Linked DNA regions of Macaca mulatta. The protein of the gene in region 2 purifies or fractionates together with the protein of the main gene of each other region. This does not show direct contact. Links are inferred from orthologs where the notes say so. Each region holds a gene or a part of one and is shown on either strand. Other genes may lie near its edges.

What was found.
Region 1: the proteins of CDK16 (region 2) and CCNY purify together in Homo sapiens (affinity purification with mass spectrometry; 3 studies listed by BioGRID and IntAct, counting the BioPlex papers as one, with this or other methods). This does not show direct contact. The link is inferred for Macaca mulatta from reciprocal best matches to the Homo sapiens genes CDK16 and CCNY.
Region 3: the proteins of CDK16 (region 2) and CCNYL1 purify together in Homo sapiens (affinity purification with mass spectrometry; 4 studies listed by BioGRID and IntAct, counting the BioPlex papers as one, with this or other methods). This does not show direct contact. The link is inferred for Macaca mulatta from reciprocal best matches to the Homo sapiens genes CDK16 and CCNYL1.

The regions. Positions count from the first base shown.
Region 1 is NC_133414.1:36,965,075-36,969,933, reverse strand, and holds part of CCNY (cyclin-Y), read right to left. Parts: intron 4,305-4,859; coding exon 4,142-4,304; intron 1,254-4,141; coding exon 1,137-1,253; 3' UTR 1-1,136. UniProt on the Homo sapiens protein: Positive regulatory subunit of the cyclin-dependent kinases CDK14/PFTK1 and CDK16.
Region 2 is NC_133426.1:47,252,852-47,257,810, forward strand, and holds the start of CDK16 (cyclin-dependent kinase 16), read left to right. Parts: upstream 1-2,224; 5' UTR 2,225-2,270; coding exon 2,271-2,486; intron 2,487-2,697; coding exon of another isoform or gene 2,698-2,726; coding exon 2,727-2,934; coding exon of another isoform or gene 2,935-2,961; intron 2,962-3,518; coding exon of another isoform or gene 3,519-3,555; coding exon 3,556-3,689; intron 3,690-3,788; coding exon 3,789-3,914; intron 3,915-4,004; coding exon 4,005-4,061; intron 4,062-4,158; coding exon 4,159-4,273; intron 4,274-4,935; coding exon 4,936-4,959. UniProt on the Homo sapiens protein: Protein kinase that plays a role in vesicle-mediated transport processes and exocytosis. Regulates GH1 release by brain neurons. Phosphorylates NSF, and thereby regulates NSF oligomerization. Required for normal spermatogenesis.
Region 3 is NC_133417.1:113,011,249-113,016,107, forward strand, and holds the end of CCNYL1 (cyclin-Y-like protein 1), read left to right. Parts: intron 1-112; coding exon 113-275; intron 276-2,554; coding exon 2,555-2,665; 3' UTR 2,666-3,591; downstream 3,592-4,859. UniProt on the Homo sapiens protein: Key regulator of Wnt signaling implicated in various biological processes including male fertility, embryonic neurogenesis and cortex development. Activates the cyclin-dependent kinase CDK16, and promotes sperm maturation.

The DNA.
Region 1 (4,859 bases), on a different chromosome or scaffold from region 2:
CCTCAGTAAATAGTAACATTTTTCCCTTCAATGATCTTCCCACTGGAATACCCAACCCACCCTTGTTTTTTTTTCTTTTTATTTTAGATTTTTAAAAAATTTTATACAAATAGACTAACTTTGATTTAAAGTGAACATATAAAAATTGAGAAGAATATTGCTTGCAACAATGGACTTGGAAGGAGAGGAATGGATTAGGCAGGGGTACAAAGAAATGGCTCCTACTCGGTAGCTTCGGATGCACGCCCAGCACTCTGCAGAACTCTCACGGGGACACCCTCTGCTGCACAGTGTCCTTCAGCCCACGAAGTCTGACTGATTTTGTAACAACAACTTCAGGTCAGGAAAAAAACAAATGCAAGAAAATCGGAAGGCACAAGCACCCATGTGATCTAGAATGCTCTTGGGGTGAGGAATAAGGAGGGAAAGGGATACTTTTGGTTCAGCACTACAGTCAATTTCACCATTGTTGAAGAAAAACGGTATAAAATGAGGGTGTACAGAAATGGAACGAGCACAGCCCACTGGTGAGGAAGAAAGCTCAGAAGACAGCGCGCAGAAATAGTGCGGAGAGAAATGACCAGTACTATTTATTTGGAAGTCTGCGCCATGGTGGGTACAAACTACATCCCCTGCTCTGTGGGACCAAAATCAAAACAGGGCAAAAACAAACGAACAAAAATCCCCCCCATCCCAAAAAAGCAGCAGAAGGAATGCAAGAAGTCTTACAGGACACACCGGTCCAGCCCTGGGTGCAGCCAGCTCTGCATCCACCGCTGCGCTCACCAACTTCAGCTACCGCCCCCACGGGGACTCCAGAGGGCCGGGCCGCTTAATCATTTTCCCTGCCTCTCCACGACTTCCCTTTCCCTTTATTTCCTCCTGCAGGATTGGAGTCTGCTTCCTCCACAAAGGAAGTGCTGTTGCTGACAGTGGTGAGAGCCAGCTGGGACCTCCAGGGTACTGACGCTTCCTCCAAGCCTTGCTGCGTGGGCGCTCATCCAGGCAGCCTGACGGAACTATGCGTTAAAAAAGAAAAGGAAAGAAAAAACAAAAACAAACCCACCCCAAGTCTGTCTTTTCTCAAACTGAAGGAGAAACTAAGGGATGGTGTGGCCTCCGGCGGGCCTCCGCAGTTAGGAAATGATGGCCGGGGACCACCGGGGCAGAGTCAGGTTGTCTGCACTGGCTGAGCGCTTCCTCGCAGATCTTCTCAGGTCCTTGTACTTGTCCTCGCAGAGGCGAGAGATGGCCTGAGGGGCAAGAGAGACAGTGTGGGTCAGGGCGGGCCATATCTGCGCCCATTGCTCACTCGTCCTGGGCGCCGAGGGTGCTGCATGATGGACAGGCAGAGCCCCTGCCCCTCTGGAGCTCCAGCCCACAGCCCAGCTCTCTGCTGGCCGCAGGAAGATATGAAGGGAGTGTAGACTCAGCTCTTGTTTCCCAAGAGCTCACGGTCTGAGAAAAGACTCTCAGGATGTGAAATAACAGGACAGTGTCACCTTGCAATTGGCCCAACCAGGGTCAATGCTGGCTCCCCACCCTCGGGGTGTGGGACGGCCCTGCCCCCACGGGTGCTGTTTCGAATCCTTAGCATCCTCATCTGCAAGCGGGGCAAGAACAGCACCATCCTGGCAGGGCTGGCGTCAAGCACAGGCTTGCAGCTGAGCCTCACAAGGAGGAGAGCTCGGCCACCGTCGGCAAGGAGAGCTGCAGCCAGACCACCAGCTAGGGACTCCACAGAAAAGGATGGAGGACTTAAGTCACCTCTAGAGGGTTGCTGAAAGAGGGACCTAGGAGGATCACAAAAACATTAAGATGTGCAGATAATTAACACTTTGGTGATGAGGACAGGGGCCGTGCTACCCTGGGAACAACTCTCCCAGGGCTGCCACTGGGTGTGGCTAGAACCAGCTGATGACAAAAGCTGAGCCCGCTGTCCCAGGAGGGGATGGTCTGAGTCGTGGGAAGGCTTTGATTATTTGGAGAAGAGAAAGAGCAGCCTTGTCAGGACAGACTGGCCTTCTCTTCTGGCCCGGTGAAACCCTAGGGCCCGTGGCACAGCAGCCCCAGAAGCAGGTGAGCTCTCCCTTCTCCGTACTCGCAGAAACTTAACAGAGGGAACGGCAGGTACCAACTCCACCAACCTGGGCCTGTGCTCTCAGGGTGGCTGACCCAGAGCCCCATATATTCTTCAGCAGAGAACACAGACTCGCTTCCCTGCAGAGCTGTGTAGCTGCCAGGAGCTCCGGCTTGTCTCATCAGCACTGAAGTAGCCACTGGAGTCATGGCTGGTGATGAGGGGGACCAGGGACCGCAGCACAGGCTGAGAGGGGGCTCACGCTCTCAGGGAAAGCCAGATTCTACCTCACATCTGTGCTTGCGAAGGCTTCACAACATCTGCCTTGCAGGAAATCCTGCAGAGGGAGGGTTTTCCATTTTTTCCTCGAATAGATGATAACTGGGAGACTGGGTGGGCTTTCCATTCCAAAGGCCGGCACACAATCACAGGGGCATGGTTGAGTTCTGAAATGCTCACTGGATTTTTATTTCTAACCAGTGCTATGCATCCAGTCTTTTCTATGGTTTACTTCTTGGAATTAACATATTACTTTTTAAATTTTTATTTAACATTTTCCTTTCTTAAGCATGTAATCCGTAACAGCTTTCTTCTCCCAGCTCTAGACCACCGTGTGGCCAGGCCATCACAATGCCACACCAACTTGCACTGAGTGACAACATCCCACCTGGGATGGGCAGTGGCATGGGCAGCACGAAGACCTCTGGGTCTCACAAGCTGGGAACACGACTGTGCCATCCACTACTTGGAAAGGCTCTGTGGGATGAGACCAAGGCAGGACTGGGGACAAAGGTGCAGAGGGGAAAAGCTGGGGCACACCCTCTCTGGAGGAGGGGTCTCTCCCCAGGGATCCTGCTTCATTACCACCCCATCCCTTTTCCTCCTGCCAAAAGGTCAAGTGGGAAGAGCCTGGTGAGCATATGAGGTAGAGGCACATACAAATATGCTGTGATGAGACCCAAAGTTACACAGCTTAACGATGGCCCAAAACCCAGACCAAGACTGGTGGTGCTGCCCTCAGCTCTAACTGGGCTATGGAAAAAATATTTTGGAAAAAAAAATCAAAAGCAGAATCAAACCTTTTTGGATTCCCAATTGTTAATATCATCTGGCAGCTTTTTCCTATAAAAGTGCATGTTGAGAAATACCTTTTTGAGGGGCTTATATGGTGGGAAATGCTTTTTGGGGGGACTTATAATTTTTTTAAACCTATCCGCAAAGATAAGGGTTTTAAAAAATATTTTATTTCAAAATAGAATTGCGGTGGCTCATGTCTGTAATACCAGCACTTTGGGAGGTCAAGGTGGGTAGATCACAAGGTCAGGAGTTCTAGACCAGCCTGGCCAACATAATGAAATCCTGGATGTCTCTACTAAAAATACAAAAAAAATTAGCCGGGCACAGTGGCGCACATCTGTAGTCCCAGCTACTAGGGAGGCTGAGGCAGGAGAATCACTTGAACCCAGGAGGTGGAGGTTGTGATGAGCTGAGATTGCGCCACTGCACTCTAGCCTGGGCAACACAGCAAGACTCCATCTCAAAAAAAAAAAAAAACTATGTTTATTAAGTGATATTAAACTGGTTATTAAAAATATGAAGCGGTTGGCCAGGTGCAGTGGCTCACATCTGTAATCCCAGCACTTGGGGAGGCCAAGGCAGGTGGATCACCTGAGGTCGGGAGTTTGAGACCAGCCTGGCCAACATCGTGAAACCCCGTCTCTACTAAAAATAAAAAAAATCAGCTGGGTGTGGTGGTAGGTACCTGTAATCCCAGCTACTTGGGAGGCTGAAGCAGGAAAACTGCTTGAACCCGGGAGGCAGAGACTGCAGTGGGCCAAGATCGCGCCACTGTACTCCAGCCTGGGTGACAGAGTGAGACTCTGTCTCAAAGAAAAAAGAAGGACAAATTATAATGAACTGCCCAGCTATATATCCTAGTAGCTCATCTTTATTTTACATCATGTAGTGGGGAAAATGATCAGTGTGACCACATACATCCCTGGTCCTCAGATGATGCATCAGCAACACTGCACCACAAAATGCTGTTTTAAAGCATCTTACCTCAAGCTTGTGAGCCCTCTCCCTGCTCAGGGGCTCCAAGGGAAAGCTCAGGTTGTTCGCTTCTGCCAGAGAACGAAGATCAAAATAATACTTGGCATAGACACTGGAAGGAACATTGATGTTGAACTGCAGCAATTCAAGAAACTGTCGCTCTAGCTCGTTCCTGCAAAGCAAAGACAAAAATAGCCTGTGCTTAGCCACCACACCAGGCCGCATGGCCTGCCAAGGCAAGTTGCTGGAGACCTGAGTCCAGAAAACTGCATCCACCAGGGAGACCAGTGATCTAATTAAATGTCTGTCTGGACACCAGAGTTGCAGTCTCACCACCATATTGGGATTAAAAGCCAAATCCACTTGATCTGGTGCCCAGGATGAGGACTGATTAATTGGGATCATCACCAGGAAGGGTTTCAGGGTGAATCACTTCACTGAGATCTAACACACACATAGCAGGCTCTGGCTGCAGGTCTCCGTGAGGACAGGCTGCTAACACAGGGTGGATGGAGCAGCCAAGAGCTGCCATGTAGAGTCCAGTGAGGGTCCTTCGGCAGGGCCCCAGAGGAAAACACTCGGCCTCTGCAGACCTAGAGGACCTTGGTTTCCTTGGTGGCCCCTCCCTGCCTCCAGGGAGAAAAGAGGGGAGGAACTGTGTATACGCTTTCTTAGGCAAAAGGCAGGGATTATGGGGGGGGAGTGTCCAGTCTCTGCCTCAGTCTCT
Region 2 (4,959 bases):
TCCAGTGAGTGCTAATGTGGGTCAGCTATAGAGTACCCCAAGTGCATGTTAATAGAGGTCAGAATCATGTAAGGGGAACAATATGTTAATGTGGGGAGTCAGTGCTATGGAGAAGGTAAGAAGAAGCTAGGCCAGGGAGGGGCCCAAGAATGTGGTGGCAAGAGTTACTCAGAGGAGGCTGAGTGTGTGCTGACAGAGTTCAGGGCGGTATGTTATGTGTTAGGGCTTTGAATGCTGATGGGTATATGAGATAATAGCAGGTAAGATGTAGTGAGGCCTCCTTGAGGGTCTAGCGTGTATTAATGGGGATCAGGACATAGAGTGCGATGACCAGGTCCTTAGTGGTTGGTGTGGTGAGTATCCTTGAGTATGAGAGTAGTCTGAGGATGGGTGTATGTCTTTGGGGATCAGGAAGGGTCAGGCAGGACATGTGCCCTTTTTGGGGTGAGGTTTTATGTCCAGTTTCTTGCTGCCTCCTTCACTTTTTTGAAATCTAAAAAGCTCAATCAACTGAAATGATATTTAAAAGTTTCCTTGAGTATAAATGTTCACTTATCTCTGTTCACAGGGGCTTGCCTGAGCCCCCCCCATCCCCCTTTCTGGGAGTGTCATGTGATATACAGATTTTACACCCCATCTTCCTAAAATCCCAAGAAACTGAACTCCAGAGCATGTCCAGCCCTTGGGGTTTCCAGTTAGAGGTCATGGACCCATGGCTCCTCCTGGCTCCCTCCCCATCCTCCATTCAGCCCTACTTCCAGTCTCCCCCAGCCCCTCCCCTACTCCCTGTCGCAACATGCAAAGCAACTGGGTATCTGTGCCATATGGGGACACAAGGTTGTCTTTGGGAGCTGGCCATGCTTTACCTTCCTCGCCTTAGGCCCAGTATTCAGCCTCCCACGTCAGGATGTTTTGTCATTATCCTGGGTTCTCCATGGATGGACCTCATCCTGTATCTGAGGTCTTTCTGCTAGGGTGGCCCCTACCCCTCCTGGGGATAGTGAGTTCAGCCAGGTGGGGGTGGGAACTGCTGGGGGAAGCACCTGATTTCAAGGTAGCAGATGACCCATTTCTCTCCTCAAATCCAGCCCCAGTCTCATCCTCGACCTCCTATCTAGCTCTACTTCCCTTGGGCCCTGGGCCATCTTAGGCCCTGCTGTGAGTCCAGATGGTTCCTGGGCCAGGTCTTTCCCCCTCCTTGCTGGCCCAGAGCCCAAGAGGAAGCAGAAGACGGCTGGCCTAAGCCTTTTGGTGGCCCCATTCCCTTCAGCAATCCATCTAGGTCATCTTCCTGTCGATGCCAGCATCCCTGGGCTACCTTGTTTAGGGTTGTTCAATGAATAGCAGGGACTCATCACCTCAGCAGAGGTTGGTCCTAGGCCCTCAGCCCCCTGATTCACTTATTTCTGCCATAAGCACTTTTTGAGCATCTACTCTGTGTCAGTCACTATTCCAGGTCCTCAGGACATAGCCGTGACCTAAACACAGAAATCTACCCTGGCGGAGCTGATCTTCTAGTTGTGGCGGTGAGGAGATAGACAGTAAAGACTAAAGAAACAAATAAGTAGGTGGTGTCATTTCTGAGGAGGTAATGAGTGCTGGGGGGATAACTGGCAAGGTAAGGGAGCTCGGGATGGTTGAGATTTTAAATAGGGTTATTCATGGAGGCCTCATGAAAAGGTGACTTTTGAGCAATGGCCTGAAGGGAGAGGGGAGTGAGCCATTTCGAAATTTAGGGGAAGGGTGTTCCAAGGTACCAAGAACAGCCAGTGTGAAGGCCCCGAGGTGGGATTCTGCTGGGTGTGGTTGCAGAACAGCAAGTAAGAATGGTGGCAGGGCGGTTGGGGGGGGTGGTGGGCAGAGAGGTAATAGGGCCAAATGAGGTAAAGAAAGACCTGTGGGCCACATTGAGGACTGGGGTGTGTATTTGGGGTGATGGGAAACGTAGTACATTCTTGAGTAGAGGAGAAATGTGACCTGGCTTGTAAAAGCCTAGATTGGACCCTAGGGGTCCTAACCTGATCAAACCTTTCTGGCAGCCCTGAGAACAGCTGGTATACACTGAGATCCCCCCCTCCACACAATCCCACCCAGTGGGTGGGTCTGGGCAGGACACCCTGACACACACTCCCCCCCCCACCCACCTGGGTAGATGAATGGGATGATGCAGTGGTTGTCATGACGATGAGTGCTAGAGAAGTCAGGAGGAGGATCCCTGTGGCCACAGGGAATAATCTGCCTTGGCCTTTGAGGGTGGTGCCAGGAGAACTATGCCACTCTATGGGCGTGCTCGAGGCCATGTCACCCATCCTTCAATTCTGGGCACACGCCCTGGCCGACCCATGGCTGGGCCCATCACTGCAGCTGTACCTGAGAAGATCTGCTATGGAGCCTTCTGCTCCTGCAGTGGGGCTTTTCCCCTAGAGGCCAACAATCCATCGTTTGGGCCCTTGCCCTCAATCAGCCACCTAAATCTGAGAACTCAGGTGGGCTACTTAGGAGCAGGGTCCCAGTGGAGTTGGCTCTGTGGGTGGGCAGGTACTTACAAAGATCCCCGTCCATGTTGGGTTTCCAGAAATCCTGAGTGGCTCTGGGGTCCATATTGGTTGAGTGAGCACTGACAAGTCCATGTCAGTGCCCCCTGCTAGACTGTGGGCTTTAGGGGACCCATGGTGATCAAGCAAATGCTAATATGAGACCCATTTCCATCCTTGTCCCTTGCTCAGATCGCCATGGATCGGATGAAGAAGATCAAACGGCAGCTGTCAATGACACTCCGAGGTGGCCGAGGCATAGACAAGACCAATGGTGCCCCTGAGCAGATAGGCCTGGATGAGAGTGGTGGTGGTGGCGGCAGTGACCCTGGAGAGGCCCCCACACGTGCTGCTCCTGGGGAACTTCGTTCTGCACGGGGCCCACTCAGCTCTGCACCAGGTGGGTCCACTGGCTACCCCCTCTCCCATATGACCCCAGGCTGCTTCCCAGGTGTTGCCTCGTGGCCACATTCCTCATTTTCCTCTCAATTTTCTGCCCTTTCTCTGCCCCCCATGTGCTCTCTTCTCCGCCTTCCTTCCCATCTTCTCTCAACACCCTCGGTCTATCTGTCCATCTGCGCTCCTCTCCTTGCCTTTCTGCCCAGGCCCCGTTGTAGGGGGGCACAGGGTGCCTCGCCTGTCACAGTTGCCCCAAGGCTCCCTCTGCCCTTCTGCCCTCTGTGATGGCCTCCTCAGGCCTCTGGTACCTGCCTGCCCTGGGCCTGCCTTCCCAGGACCCTTGGCTTCCCCTGCCACCACCTAGCTACCAGCTCTGAGCTCAGCTTTCCCTTGGAAGGAAAGGTTCCACCAGGTGACTTTTGCCTCCCCACCCCCCAGTTCAACCTGTCCTAGATGGACCTGAGCTTCCCTGGGCCCTATCACCCTCTCCCCGAGGGACTCCAGGTTTCCTCTGGGGGCCATGTGCACACATGTGTGATGATGGAATATGTCTCATGGGGGAGGGGGTGTCCTGTGGTTTCTGACCCCACCTGGCCTGCCCTACCCCTCTCCCTGCCACCAGAGATTGTGCACGAGGACTTGAAGATGGGGTCTGATGGGGAGAGTGACCAGGCTTCAGCCACTTCCTCGGATGAGGTGCAGTCTCCAGTGAGAGTGCGCATGCGCAACCATCCCCCACGCAAGATCTCCACTGAGGTGCTTGACCCAGTCTGGATGGTGGAGGAGCTGGAAAAGGGGGTTGGACCTGGGGAGGTGGAACTCATGATCCTGTTTCTCTCTCGCCTTACCTGCTAGGACATCAACAAGCGCCTATCGCTACCAGCTGACATCCGGCTGCCTGAGGGCTACCTGGAGAAGCTGACCCTCAATAGCCCCATCTTTGACAAGCCCCTCAGCCGCCGCCTCCGTCGTGTCAGCCTAGTAAGCACCTTGTGTTCCTGTCCTCTCCTTTTTCTCCTCCTCTCCCAGACCCTTCTGAACTTGCTTCAACCTGCCTCATTTGTCCCACAGTCTGAGATTGGCTTTGGGAAACTGGAGACCTACATTAAGCTGGACAAGCTGGGCGAGGTGAGAGGCAGCTAGGAGGCCCATGGTGGGGATGAAGGTCAGTGGGAACTCCTGGAATCTCATAGCACCTCTCCTGTCACACTTCCTCACATTCCAGGGTACCTATGCCACCGTCTACAAAGGCAAAAGCAAGCTCACAGACAACCTTGTGGCACTCAAGGAGATCAGACTGGAACATGAAGAGGGGGCACCCTGCACCGCCATCCGGGAAGGTACACACCCCCATCCCATCTGCCCCAGGCTTCCCCAACTCACCCCTGGTGCACACACTCCATAATGAGAACAAAGACTGGTTCTGGGACCCCCCGCAAAACACTCTGGCTTTCATGGGAATGCCTGTTACCCACATATCCAGGTAATAATCAGGGTAACCAGGAATCTGTTCCCATTTGGATAAAAGGTGGATGAATTGCAAACCAGGGTTTGGTTCCGAGAACACCCCTGGAAGTGCTCACCAATTTATTTACTGTAACAATTTCTAGTCAGAATATCACATGGAATGAATTTGAATTGCACTGAAATTGAGTGTGCAAATTCAATTTCACATGATGCTGCAGGCCTGTGTACTGAGGGTTGGAGCCAGGCCCCTTCCCAGAAACCAAAAACAGGTTGTGAAAATCTAGTGTCACATGAGCCTGGGGCTGCAATCCCAGGTTCTTGCTCCATACTCTCCTCTGAGTCTTGTTTTCCACATCTGCAACATGGGGAGACAACTTGCATGAGGTGGGTTAGAGCTGGTGGCTCCGAGGCATTACCTTGAACTGTCTGGAGAAAGAAAAAAAACCTGGGCTTGTCCCTTTCTAGTCCTTGTCCTCACCTCTGTCCTGAGGGTAGGACCCTGACTCTTCCCGTCCCACTCCCATGCTTCCTGCAGTGTCCCTGCTCAAGGACCTCAAAC
Region 3 (4,859 bases), on a different chromosome or scaffold from region 2:
ATTTTAAAACAGAGTTTAGAGCTATTCTAGTCACTCAGAATGATATTTTTGAAGATAGCCCACTTGACTGACATTGTCCTGTGCTGGTTCTGTTGTGTTCTTCCTCCTCCAGGAATGAAATGGAAAGGCATTTTCTGGAGCTTCTTCAGTTTAATATTAATGTTCCTGCCAGTGTTTATGCCAAATACTACTTTGACCTTCGCTCCTTAGCAGATGACAACAACCTGAATTTTCTATTTGCTCCTCTTAGCAAAGAAAGAGCACAGAACCTAGAGGTAAGGCTGTGAAGTCACTAAGTGGGGTTTTCCATCAGCCACCAAAGCCAACATCTGTGACTAAATCATATTAAGTAGTGATTAGGAAAATGGAAAGCTTTAAAATTAACTAACACACTGAAGAGCTTATTAGCCCTTTGGCGTCAGATTTCCTGTGTCTTTTATGGTTTAGACAAGGATCAACATTATTTAAAAATTATACATATTAACTCTTCTGTGACCATAATTCAGAATATTTTAAATCAAATTTAATCTGTTGTTCATGAGGCTTCCTTTTGAACTTCTACCCTTTCATATAACCATACATGAATAATTTTTTTAACTGGGCGCTGTGGTTCATGCCTGTAATCCTAGCACTTTGGGAGGCCGAGGCAGGTGGATCACCTGAGGTTGGGAGTTCGAGACCAGCCTGACCAACATGGAGAAACCCCGTCTCTACTAGAAATACAAAATTAGCCGGGCATAGTGGCACATGCCTGTAATCCCAGCTACTCGGGAGGCTGAGGCAGGAGAATCACTTGAACCGGGGAGGTGGAGGTTGCAGTGAGCCGAGATCGTGCCATTGCACTCTAGCCTGGGCAACAAGAGCGAAACTCCATCTCAAAAAAATATATATATATACACACAAAAAAATATTATTCGGGTATGGGAGCGCATGCCTGTAATCGCAGCTACTTGGGAGGCTGAGGCATGAGCATCGCTTAAACCTGGGAGGTGGAGGTTGCAGTGAGCCAAGATCGCAACACTGCACTCTAGCCTGGGTGACAGAGTGAGATTGTGTCTCCAAAAAAAAAAAAAAAAATGTTCTTTGTGACTATATTCCTAATTTTATCTACATACATAATTCATTTGCCACTCTTGACTGTCTTACTCTGTTTGTAAATTCATGTCATGGTTTACATATCACAGTGCAGTCCTGTGAGTTTTTTAGACAAAGGATTAGTGGGTAAGCCAAGAGACCTATACCCTTCACTAATATAGGGTGCAAGTGTTTCAAATGCTGGATGTAAGTGCTGGGCATGGTGGCTCAAACCTGTAATTCCAGCACTTTGGGAGGCTGAGGCAGGTGGATCACTTGAGATCAGGAGTTCGAGACTAGCCTGTACTAAAAATACAAAAATTAGCCGGGTGTGGTGGCGGCGCCAAGTTACTCAGGAGGCTGAGGCATGAAAATTGCTTGAACCTGGGAGGCGGAGGCTGCAGTGAGCCGAGATCATGCCACTGCACTCTAGCCTGGGCGATAGAGCGAGGCCCTGTCTCAAAAAAAAACAAAAACAAAAACAAAAAAAAGAAAAACAAATAATGTAGGAAGTACATGGGTTTTTTAATGGAAATGGTAACTTTATGGGGCAAAGTAATATTTATGGCTTATGACTCTTGGTGAGTATACAGCAGAATTACAACTGAAGTGGACACATACTTTAAACTGACACTTTCTGTGGCACCATGGTGGTACTTTAGAATAATATGTATTTCTAGACTGGGCTCAGTGGCTCACGCCTGTAATCCCAGCACTTTGGGAGGCCGAGGCAGGTGGATCACCTCCTGGCCAACATGGTGAAACCCCGTCTCTACTAAAAATAAAAAATTAGCCAGGTATGGTGGCACATGCCTGTAATCCCAGCTACTTGGGAGGCTGAGGCAGGAGAATCGCTTGAACCTGGGAGGTTTCACGCAATTGCACTCCAGCCTGGGCAGCAGGAGCGAAACTCCGTCTCAAAAAAAAAAAAGAAAAAAGAAATAATACGTATTTCTACCATAATTAACGTGCATGTGAAGTAACACCTTTTGGTGCATCAGTCATTAGACCTCTCATATATTCCAATATAGTCCAGCACATGCCTGCCTCATTAAAATGTGCTTTGAGTATATAATAGCTAATAAGGATTGGGTAGAATTTGAATAGCTGAATAAACTTATTTTTTTGCACAAGTGTACGTTTGTTATATTTAAGGGATAAGTGCACAGGTAACAGATGCTATTGCTGTTAGGAGCCTATCACAATACCTTTGACATCATTGGGAATCCAACTTCTTAATAATATAATAAATTCCCCTTTATTCTCTGGGAATCTAATCGTAGCCCTTAAAGGATATTACATTGGTGAATTGGCAGGAAGTAGTGTCCCCAGAACCTGGCAGTGTAAAACTCAGCCAAAGTAGCTGTAACTGTGAATTATGTAAAGGAGTCTACATGTGTGGCTTTCATCAGTGTGCTTTTTCAAATGTGGGAACCCTTTTTAAAATTGTACCTGTTTTCTATTTGATTGACTTTCCTAGGCTATTTCTAGATTGTGTGAAGACAAAGACTTGTGTAGAGCCGCTATGAGAAGGTCTTTCAGCGCTGATAACTTCATTGGTATTCAGCGCTCCAAAGCCATCCTCTCTTAAAGGGAGAAATGAGGGGATATAACGTCACGCGACCTTCTACAAAGACTGGAGAAATATCACCTTTCCTGCTCAAAAACCAGCAAAATTAGTATTTTCATCAAAAGGAAAGATCTCAAATTCAAGAGACTCATGGACAACAAGGATTATACTCCATAGGAAAGAATGGGACCTTGTCAATGCAACAGAACACACTTCTGATCTTTTTAATGTAAACAGAGTTACAAAAACCACTCCAAAGTGAAGGCTCCCATCCCACACACAGATATTTACTTACTGTGTGGGCCCGACAGCTGTGAACTATGTAAGGTTTTTTAAACAATAGTTTAAATTTTTAAAGACACTAACCATATAACTTTTATGTTTCTTCCCGTTTTTCTTCCTCCCCCCCATTTTGCTGCATATGCCTTTCAAATCAATGCAGTATTACCATTAAAACATGGGACTCTTCACTAAAGCCACTTAGGAGCAGACTGCAGCATTGTTAGGTATTGAAGGGTTCTTTCTCCCTTCTGTTACCATTGAAGCTGCTAGTCATTGGCAATCATTTTAAACCAAAAAGCTGCTGGATAACATTCGTCATTCATATTTTTTGCAAGCATTACTTTAGCATTTTAGCATGTTTGGGATCATAAACAGGAAGTATCAGTTATTGATATCTACTTCTATTGGGGTCCATGTTGCATTTCTTGTGAACTAAATGGTGCTTCTCATTTTCTGATAATTTTTCTCTTGTTAAATAAAGGTCTTAAAAGATTTTTTCGGCCGGGTGCGGTGGCTCAAGCCTGTAATCCCAGCACTTTGGGAGGCCGAGATGGGCGGATCACGAGGTCAGGAGATCGAGACCATCCTGGCTAACACAGTGAAACCCCGTCTCTACTAAGAAATACAAAAAATAGCCGGGCGAGGTGGCAGCGCCTGTAGTCCCAGCTACTCGGGAGGCTGAGGCCGGAGAATGGCGTGAACCCGGGAGGCGGAGCTTGCAGTGAGCTGAGATCCGGCCACTGCACTCCAGCCTGGGCTACAGAGCGAGACTCCGTCTCCAAAAAAAAAAAAAAAGATTTTTTCATAATGCCAACCAACATGGTGGTTCAGTGATGATGAAAAAAAGTAAAGCAGTTTTAAGCTTTAATATAGTTTGGGCCCTCCAGGGCACTGCAGCATGAGTATAAATGCTATAAACCTTTAAAAAACATCGTTTGAAAGTTTTTTTTTTTTTTTTTTTTTTGAGACGGAGTCTCGCTCTGTCGCCCAGGCTGGAGTGCAGTGGCGCGATCTCGGCTCACTGCAAGCTCCGCCTCCCGGGTTCACGCCATTCTCCTGCCTCAGCCTCCTGAGTAGCTGGGACTACAGGCGCCCGCCACCGCACCCGGCTAATTTTTTCTATTTTTAGTAGAGACGGGGTTTCACCATGGTCTCGATCTCCTGACCTTGTGATCCACCCGCCTCGGCCTCCCAAAGTGCTGGGATTGCAGGCGTGAGCCACCGCGCCCGGCTTGTTTTTTTTTTTTTTTTAAGAGATAGGGTCTTACTGCGTTGTCCAGGCTGGAGTGCAGTGGCTGTTCACAGGTGCAATCATAATGCACTGCAGCCTAGAACTTCCTGACCTTAAGCCATCTTCTAGCCTCAGCACACAAGTAGCTGGGACTAAAGTGCACCTAGCACTTGTCTCCTGAATATTAAGCTTTTAATTTTTTGTTTTGGTCACTCTTGATAGCAGACATTGACTGAAACAAAAAATTAAAAGTTTTATATTCAGAATTGGCAAGATGAAGTTGGTGTGGTGGTGCACGCCTATAATCCCAGCTACTTGGGAGGCTGAGGCTGGAGGATTGCTTGAGGTCAAGTATTGGAGGCTGCAGTGTACCATGATGGTGCCTATAAGAATAGCTACTACACTCCAGCCTGGACAACGTTATCAAGACCCCATCTCTTAGAAAAATGCAAAATTAAATGCAAAAGAAATGGGCTGGGCATAGTGATTCATGCCTATAATCTCAGTACTCTGGGAGGCTGAGGTGGGAGGATTGCTTGAGTGCAGGAGTTCAAGACCAGTCTAGGCAACATAGTGAGACTCTGTCTGTAAAAATAAGTCAGTAAATAAAAATAGTTGATATGGTGGCATGTGTCTGTAGTCCCAGCCACTCTGGAGGCTGAGGTGGGAGGATCAGTAGAGCCTAGGAGGTCAAGACTGCGG